Oryctolagus cuniculus: one gene and its partner. The protein of the gene in region 1 binds, or shares a complex with, the protein of each later gene. Links are inferred from orthologs where the notes say so. Each region holds a gene or a part of one and is shown in the gene's direction. Other genes may lie near its edges.

What was found.
Region 2: the proteins of RAB1B (region 1) and TBC1D20 are in contact, whole or in part, in a crystal structure (PDB 4HLQ), measured with the Homo sapiens proteins. The link is inferred for Oryctolagus cuniculus from reciprocal best matches to the Homo sapiens genes RAB1B and TBC1D20. Residues at the interface, in NP_112243.1 of Homo sapiens: Ser17, Gly18, Ser36, Tyr37, Ile38, Ser39, Thr40, Ile41, Gly42, Val43, Asp44, Phe45, Gln60, Trp62, Ala65, Gly66, Gln67, Arg69, Phe70, Thr72, Ile73, Tyr77, Glu94; in NP_653229.1 of Homo sapiens: Gln97, Gln98, Leu101, Asp102, Arg104, Arg105, Leu107, Arg108, His141, Tyr142, Tyr143, Gln144, Gly145, His147, Asp148, Phe177, Met178, Asp179, Pro180, Thr181, Met182, Lys186, Val212, Ile215, Leu218, Ser219, Thr223, His227, Met272, Ala273.

The regions. Positions count from the first base shown.
Region 1 is NC_091432.1:5,574,439-5,578,745, reverse strand, and holds the start of RAB1B (ras-related protein Rab-1B), read left to right. Parts: upstream 1-1,230; 5' UTR 1,231-1,366; coding exon 1,367-1,380; intron 1,381-2,877; coding exon 2,878-2,950; intron 2,951-3,183; coding exon 3,184-3,279; intron 3,280-3,357; coding exon 3,358-3,453; intron 3,454-4,307. UniProt on the Homo sapiens protein: The small GTPases Rab are key regulators of intracellular membrane trafficking, from the formation of transport vesicles to their fusion with membranes.
Region 2 is NC_091442.1:26,546,897-26,551,149, reverse strand, and holds the start of TBC1D20 (TBC1 domain family member 20), read left to right. Parts: upstream 1-1,339; 5' UTR 1,340-1,472; coding exon 1,473-1,542; intron 1,543-4,168; exon of another isoform or gene 4,169-4,252; intron 4,253-4,253. UniProt on the Homo sapiens protein: GTPase-activating protein (GAP) specific for Rab1 and Rab2 small GTPase families for which it can accelerate the intrinsic GTP hydrolysis rate by more than five orders of magnitude. Also shows GAP activity for RAB18 GTPase.

The DNA.
Region 1 (4,307 bases):
AGGGGCAGCCAGTTGCCAGAGCCGCCCCCCGGCACAGCCCCAGCGCTCGCATGGGCCCGCTGCTCGTCCCGCCTGCCCAGCCCCAGGACCCCTGTCTTTTCTGTTCAATCTCAGGGTAACCTCCCCGCGTCGTCCCAGCCTGAGCCCTGGAGGCCGGCCTGGCTGCCCAGCGCTGCCCCGTATTTATTCTCTCCAGCAGAGCCCCTTGCCAGGCCCGTGGGAGGGGCTGGCTGCTCGCCTCGCCCAGATCCGGAGCCCGGAACACTAAGCCCCGCCCTCCCCCGGCCGTTGCTTCTGTATATAGAGAAATAAGTTATTGGCCGCGCCCCTGCCCTCCGTCCCGGTACTCCCGGCCCTTCTCTAGTGGTACCGCCCAGGCCTTAATCACCCCCATCGCGCGCGGAGTATCTCCCGCGAGCGGCGCCGCCCCGCAGGGCTCCCTGACCTGCTCCCGCCCCTCCCGGCCTCCAGGGGACGCCACCAGCTCGCCATCGCCCGGTGTCCCGGGACGGAGAGCCCGGAGCCCTCCTCGCCCGCCGGCCCCGCGCCGCGCCCGGCCTTATGCACTGCCCCGCCGGGGCGCCGCCTCCGCGCCTGCAGCTTCCCGCCGGGGCCGGAGGGCTCCCCAGCTGGGGTGGGGTGAGGCGGTCGCGCCATTTTCAGATGTAACTGGAGAAATAAAGACGTTTGAATCTGTGCTGGGCTTGTTTTGAGACGGAGGCCGCGGGTGCCCCAGGCTGGGATGGGTGGGAGAGGCTGCGCGTGTCTCCCACGGGGGCCAGGCCCTCTGCCCCAGCCCAGTTGTGGGGGGCGCTGCTCGGCTCGGGGTTTCTTCGAGAGCCTTCGCTCCTTCGCCCCAGACGGCCCGGTCTTTAACGAGATCGGCCGTCCTCGGGTTTGACCTTGAGCGAGTTTCCCGAGCCCCGGTTTTTTTTTTCCACCTATAAAACTAGTGTGAGGACATCCTCCTGGGCCCGTGGCTGTGCGTGAGGAGCTCTGACTAGTGCATGACCGGCGCCACCTTCCCACGCAGAGCTCCCAACCTGGGAGCCGAAGAGGGAGAAGGCGGGTGCGCCAGCCCGAGCCGTCCTCGGCCCGCGGCTACCAGGAAGCGGACTACAAGCTCCAGAAGGCAGTGCGCGGCAGGACAGGCGTGGGCTCGCAGCGACGCCTGCGCCGTGGGGGGTGGCGAGTCGGGCACCGTGGGGGACTACAAGTTCCAGTAAGCAGCGCGGCGAGGCCCCTGTCGGGACCGTGTGCGCCTGCGCGTCGCGGGCGGGGCCTCAGGGGCGGAGCGGCCACCATCTTGGAACGGGAGGCGGAGCAGAGCCGACTGGGAGCGACCGAGCGGGCCGCCGCCGCCGCCATGAACCCCGAATAGTGAGTGAGCCCCGCCCGCGCCGTCTGGCGCAGCCTCGGTCCCGAGTACGGGGCTGTACGCGTTCCGGAGTTGTCTGGCCCGGGTCAGGACTGTGCGGCGCCCCCACATCCGGGTCCCTCTACCACTGACACCCCCCCCCCACACATACACACATCCGGGTCCCGCCCCTCCCCCCGGGGGCCCAGGACCCCGTCTTGACACCCCCGAGTCCTCGAAGCGGGGGCCCGAAGCGGCAGCCCCAAGGGCAGCGCTGGGAGCCGCGCGGCCGGCGCGCAGGCCTCCGCGGTCAGGTGACCCGGCAGCCCCGGCGTCCCCAGGCCTCAGTTTCCCCGGCTGTGCGGAGCCTGTCACGCCGGTTTCTGGGTTCAGACTCGGCTCTTTTGGGTCGGGCTCTTGGCGAAGAAGAGCAGCGCCTGGGGTGTGGAGCTTGGCGGAGAGGGGGCTCAGAGCCCTGGAGGCAAGCGAGAAGCGAAGTCGATTAAGCCCCGCAAAAGTGCGCTCGGGCGGGATCCGAGCGGCCCAGCCCCTGGGCGCGGGGCGGTGGTCCTCCGTCGTCTGTCTGAACCGAGAGGTGCGGCTCCCGGAGGATGGGCAGGGGGCTGCCCGGGAAGGCGGGGCGCGGGCTGTCCCGGCGGAGTCGGGATTCCGGCGTGGTGGAGGAATTCCTGGAAAGCGTGGGGAGCCCGTGTGAGCCCCCTGCGGCCGTGAGGATTTCGAAGGTGGCTCGGAAGGCCGGCTTCCACGTTGTCTCTGCGGCCCCTGGAGTGCAGGTGTGCCAGCCCTGGGGCCCTGCCCGCGCCCGCCTCCCCGGTCTGGGGCCGAGGCTGGCCAGGCGCAGGGCCCGGGGCGGCGCTTGGTCCCGTCTCCCGCGCCTCGCGCTCGCGGGGTCTCCCGCGCCTCGTCCCGCCTTTGCCACCCTGCTTTCGCTGTCCCGCTGCTGCCGGGCCCGGGCGCCGTGGCGCGGCCTTTGCCTCGCGGCGCCGGCTCTGGGCCTCGCTGCCGGCTCGGCTCTGCACTCGGACTTCCCCGCGGTGCGCTCTGCTTCCTCTCTGCCGCTTCCCTCTTCTGCCCCAGCTGGAGGCTGCAGGTTTCCCCGGGCAGCGCCCCCCGGGCCGCGGTGCGGGGTGGGTGAGACCCCGCCTTGGGGCCCCCTCGCAGCTCAGTCTCCTCCCTGGCCTGGGGTCTCTTCGTGGCGACTTCAGCTGTGCGCGCAGCTTTGTCACTGAGCAGGTTCCGGGCTGAGCTCAGCTTTCCCTCTGGGGCCTGCCCTGCCAAGCCACTGGACGGGCCGGGAAGGTCTGGAGTCCTGGGAAAAGTCCCAGCGGCGGCACCGGGCTCTGGTTCACAGCATCCCGCCCTTCAGCGCCCGGCGCCCTGTCGCGTCCAGGGCAGCGCTCCCCCAGCCAGGCCTGGCGGGAGATCTGGGGGGCCGCGGCCGCGAGCCCAGGGTGGCAGCAGTGCGCTGCCTGCCCTCACACTCTCTCTTCTCTTCCCAGTGACTACCTGTTTAAGCTGCTTTTGATCGGCGACTCGGGCGTGGGCAAGTCGTGCCTACTCCTGCGGTTTGCTGTGAGTAGAAGCTCCCGTCCCCCAGCCTGGGGTCCCAGCTGGCAGCGGGGGGAAGGGCCCCCCAGAGCACAGTGGCTGCGAGACCTGGGGACCCAGGGTGAAGTCGTGGGACCCACCAGTCACACATCAGACTAAATGGCACAGGGCCCAAACGTTGGGGTGCTGAGAACTGGGGCTCCCCTGTGCCCCACTGGGGCCCCGTGGCTGAGGCGCTGCGCTGGCCCCGGCCCTAGGATGACACGTACACGGAGAGCTACATCAGCACCATCGGGGTGGACTTCAAGATCCGCACCATCGAGCTGGACGGCAAGACCATCAAACTCCAGATCGTGAGTGTCGCCCGAGGGCCCCGGGGAGGGGGCTGCGGCCTGGGCCGCGGGCCGACTGTGCTGCTCGCTTGTCTGCAGTGGGACACAGCCGGCCAGGAGCGGTTCCGGACCATCACCTCCAGCTACTACCGGGGGGCCCACGGCATCATCGTGGTGTATGACGTCACCGACCAGGTACTCCGGGGCTCCCTGTCGCCAGCTGTGCCTCCCTGCCTTAGTCCGAGATTCGCACGTCATCCTGGCCTCTGCCCTGACAGGGGACTGACTGTGTGCAGGCTCACGTGCAGGGAGGCCAGCCTTCCAGAACCCTGATGCAGGGGCTCGGTGGGACCAGGCCGCAGCTTCCCCTCCGCGCCAGACTCGCCCCTCGGGGTTTTAGTCAGCTGGGTGGCCGCGGTGCTGGACCTGTGGCTTCCTGTGTGAGACAGGGGCGGCACTTGGAGGGCCCTTGACCAGGAGGCCCGGGAGCCCGGTGTGAGCAAGAGCCCAGGCTGTGCGTCTGCTCTCACGCCGCTGGCAGCAGCCGGAGACGGTCTGTCCCCTTGCGACACTCATGCGAGGGCTGTGTCCCAGGAGGCCGTGGGCTCAGGACGGCGGGGGCCCTGGGCGAGTCCTCCAGCTTGTGGAGGGCAGGGGCAGGAAGCGCAGTCTTTCCCTCCCCCCCCGCCCCAAACCTGCCGCTGCGTGGGGTCCAGCCCCAGGCGGAAGGGGTCCCTGCTCCCAAGGGCAGCTGCTCTTTTTTTAAGACTTATTTATTTATTTATTTGAAAGACAAAGTTGGCAGAGAGAGAGAGGTTTTCCATCCGCTGGTTCACTCCCCAGATGGCCGCAATGGTAGGAGCTGTGCTGATCCGAAGCCAGGAGCCAGGAGCTTCTTCTGGGTCTCCCTTGTGGGTGCAGGGGCCCAAGGACTTGGGTCATCTTCCAGTGCTTTCCTGGGTCATAGCAGAGAGCTGGATCAGAAGTAGAGCAGCCGGGTCTCGAACCAGCGGCCATTTGGGATGCCGGCACTGCAGGCGGCGGCTTTA
Region 2 (4,253 bases), on another chromosome or scaffold:
TGACAATATACCCTCCTTCCCCCACATTCTGATTGTCACGAATCCTTTTATGATGTTAACATCCCTGTTTTTAAAGAAAAAGTATGCACACGTATATAATATCTACCTATGAAGTGAAGGAGGCAAAATGTTAGAAATTGTTAAATCTTAAAACTTAAAAAAAGTGTTGCCTCAGGAGGGCATTACCTGGTTCTTGTCTTCATGCAAGAAAGAGTTCAGATGTGAGACTGGTAGCTGTGAGCATGCTAGCGACATTGAGTGAGGAGTGCACCTGGCAGACCAGGCCGGGATCTCGGGAAAGAGCTGGGAGCCGAGTCTGCACTCACACTGGTGGTTCACAGATGCTGTGTCTGGGCCTTCTACACCCTCTCTGGAATATTGCTGGATGAAGGGCTTTCTGGGTGCGGAGTTCCACCGAGAACCTCTTAATAGTCCCCTTGATGAAGGGCAGAGGAGAGAGGCTGACCCCAGCCTGGTTATTGAACCACATCCACTTTAGATGTGTAAATGTTAGTTTGCTGCCTTGTTGCATCGCACAGAAAAATTCCCATTTTTCTTCTGCCCCTCACACACTTAGGCTCATGTATACCTAGCTACCATTAACAAACATTTGTAAAGACTTAAAATTCTGATGCTTAAAAATGGAAAATTATTAAATTTATAAACCCAGTTTCAAATGTTCAAAGGGCCTTCATTAAATTCATTAATGAGCCCAAAGAATCTCATTTACTAAATTTATGAACAGAATTGTAAAATTTGTCAGTTGAAGGAAAAAAATCGCTTGGGGATTTCTAATTTTAATAAATGGAATATTGGTTCTAGAAATCAAATTAACTTCGGAGTAACCTCCCCCAGCGAGACGGGGCCCTGGAGGCGGATGGGGCAGGACGGGCAGGAGCTCCGGGGGGAGGCAGGGCAAGCAGACGCGGAGCGGGTGGCCTTCGGAAGCCGGGCGTGTCGCCGGGACCTGGCCTGGTCAGCCGCGGGGGTCGCGGCCGTGCAGAAGGCGGGCGCGGTGCCCACAGGGGTCGACGTGGACGGCGTCTACAGTGCACGCCCTGGGCGCCAGCGTAAAATCCCTAAGCTGAAACGGCATCTCACAGTTACACAGCAGGCCTGGTAACGTTCTAAGCACCTGTGAGCTCAGTGCTCTTAGTCCCACTTTGCAGACAAGTCCCGATCGCACTAGGCCAAGAGCGACAGCTGCTACGGCGGGAACTCTCCCAGCGCGCTCCCGCCGCTGTCCCAGGCGGCTCGGGCCGCGCGCGCCTCCACCGCCCCGGCCCCGCCCCCCGCGCAGCGGAGCGTCACGTGCCGGTGTGGGGCGTGGTCTCCGCTGCGCCTGCGTGCCGCGGGCCGACGAAGCCGAGCCTGCCCGGGCGGAGTGGGCGCTGCGTCCAGCGGCCATAGCCGCGTCTTCTCACGGCTCTGCCACCAGCCGGGGCTCGGGCTGGAGCCCGGGCCCCCGGGACATGGCCCTCCGGAGTGCACAGGGTGACGGCCCCATCTCCAGCCGCTGGGACGGCGGCGCCGAGAAGGCAGGTACGGAACCCGGCAGGAGAGGCCTGTGAGGTCGGCCTCAGGGGCAGGGGCAGGGGCGGCCCCAGGGCCCGGGACAGCTGTCTGAAGGGGAGCCGGCGGCGGAGGGGTGCCGGAGGGGCCGCGGGGCGGCGGGCGGGGTCTGGGCAGCGAGAGAGAAGATGACTGCGGGGCGCGTCTGTATGGGGAGAGGGTCTGCAGTCGCGGGGTCCGGCGGATGCTGAGCTGACCCAAGGAATCCTGGCGGCAGGATCGTGCGGGGCTGTGCGCTCGGGCCTCGTTCCATCTGGGGAGGAGACGGGGCTTTCTGAGAACTGAGGCAGAGGCCTCGCCCCCGTGGGCCCGAGACGTCCGGCCACGTCCGCAGACTCCTGGAGCCGCCGCCCTCTTGGAAGGGCAGGTTTCCCAAACTTGATTCACGTGTCGCCACCTAGACTTAACGCCGTATATGCGTGCGCCACCTGTTTACCATCAAATTCTGCCTTTTCCGGTGTGAAGTTCGGTGGTTCTTAGTGCATCCACGAAGTTGCGCCAGCATCGCCGCTGTTTTCGAAACATTTCCAGTTCAAAAAAGAAACCCGTGTCCGGCAGGAGCCGCTTCGCCTTCAGCTCTGGCCACCGCGGCTCTCCCTGTCGCATCCTCCTCCACCTATTTTAACCTCATTTAATGGGGTTAAAAGGGCACTGGTTTTTTTTTTTTTTTCCCCAGGCTGTTTCAGTCTGAATTTCCATGAATTCATACTTTTGTTGCACGTTATTATTCTCGAATGTTTTCCAGTGACTACTTGACGGTTAAACTGATGCACGTTTGCTTCGTGCCGAGTTAGAGCGTCTTTCCCCCCGGCGAATGCTGGGGTGGTTGTCCCACGTTGCCCACAGCACGGGCCCCAGAATCAGCCCTTACGGTTCGAGGAGTTCCCGGCCTCCACGTCTGGCGTCTGCTGTCCCCTCTTTCTTCGGGTCTCGGACTGGCTGCAAGGGGAGCCCACTCCGCCTGTTTGTCCTCAGCGCCCTTTGGCGTCGTAACCCCTTTGCTGCTGTTTGTGTGACATCTGTCCTCGTGCGTAATAGTCAGTGCCGCGAGTGGCATGGGCCTTGTGACCTGTTGCAGTGCAGCTGTATCCTGGCAGGAAAACTTGTGCCCCTGCGCTTCCCGTGATGTTGCTTCTCGGGATAAAAGGGAGGAATTTAGAGATGCCGTTTCTTTGATTTTGGTTTTGTATCATTTTAATCATATGGGAGAATTGTTGGCAGAGTTACAATGCCAGAAGCCCTTCTCTGTGGTGCTGTGTCAGCTTGGTTTACTCTCTCCGTCGCTGGTGTGGTGAAGCACTCTCCCCCCTGTGGCTGGCCACGCAGCCCTGCACACCTCTCCGGCTGCCCAGGGTGCCAGCTGCTGTTTTTTCTCCCTTCCCAGACAGACACCGCTTGGTCTGCAGCTGTACTGGCCCATAATGAGACCAAAAGCATTCTTTCTTGATACTTTATGTTTCAGGGAGTTAATGAATGGCTGCTAATTTGGATACTATTTTGTAGCAGCTAATTAGGAGACCTCCAAAAAGAGAGACTACTTTATGTTGCTTTTAATGGGAATCATACACAGGATAACATAAGGTTTTCCTCTCCCGATGTCTTTCTCTGCTATAGACCTGAAGTTCATAAATTTTCAAGTTAATTTCCCATGTTAATATCACGAGTTGTTGGGGGTAGGGGGAATTCTGTCTGTATCTCTGATTGGCCCTCCTGTTATTTTGGTTAAGGCTAGCATTGCTTAATGTGGGTTTAACTTTTTAAAGACTGTTCATCTTTCTGGATATGCAGGCTTGACCTCAGCCTGTGTGAAATGTTGTACCCTCACATAAGATCCCAGTATGGAAGTGTGGAGATCACTTGATCCCAGTCACTAGCACTTATTTTGGTGAAATGGAGAAACTTTGAGAAGCAAGCTAATGGTCATCTTTGGCCATTGTTTGTTCCCTGTATGGTTAGTTCCCTGTGCCAGGTACTTTTGATTTGGGAGAGGTTTAAGACAACAATTGCTCAGCCATCTTTATCTGAACTGTTCAAACTACTCCTTTGGTGCCCCTATTACAAAGTAAGCATTTTAATGGTGAGCTGGCCAAAGCAGTGCCCGTGCTATTTCTTTTTCCTTTGTTGAATGAATTACTTTTCAGGCATTAGGGATTTATTTATAGCCACTGTGTATTTTGCTGCCAGCTGTAGGACAGTCATTTCATTCCATCATGGTTATAATAGCCAAGACCTCTACTATAAAGGAAATTGGAAGGGATCAGCTTTGGAGTATATAGTGTATCTCTCAGAGAGCAGTGAAGAAATCGAAGAGGGAAGATTCAGGGGGTTAGAATAACACATCTGCCGCTCTAGATAAATGTAGTCTCATCCCAAGCCCAGATAGAGCATTCTCAAATCCAAAATGTGTGTCCTGCTCTAAAATTTTGGGATGCAAGATTAAGAATAGAATCCGAACAGGGAGAAATAAGTACCAGCGCTGTGGTTTGGGTTCCGAATCAGTTAACTTTCTGACTTTTCTGTTTGCCAAAACCTCGTGGAAATCCAGCTGATTACAGTGTTCTTTGTCCCAGGATAAGTAATGCTTCCTTTCCCCCAGATTGCTGCTGAGCTTGCTTGAAGGGAAAGTGGAGTGGCTGTGTCGAAACGAACTGTGGGGAAGCTCTGTACTCCTAGCAAACAGG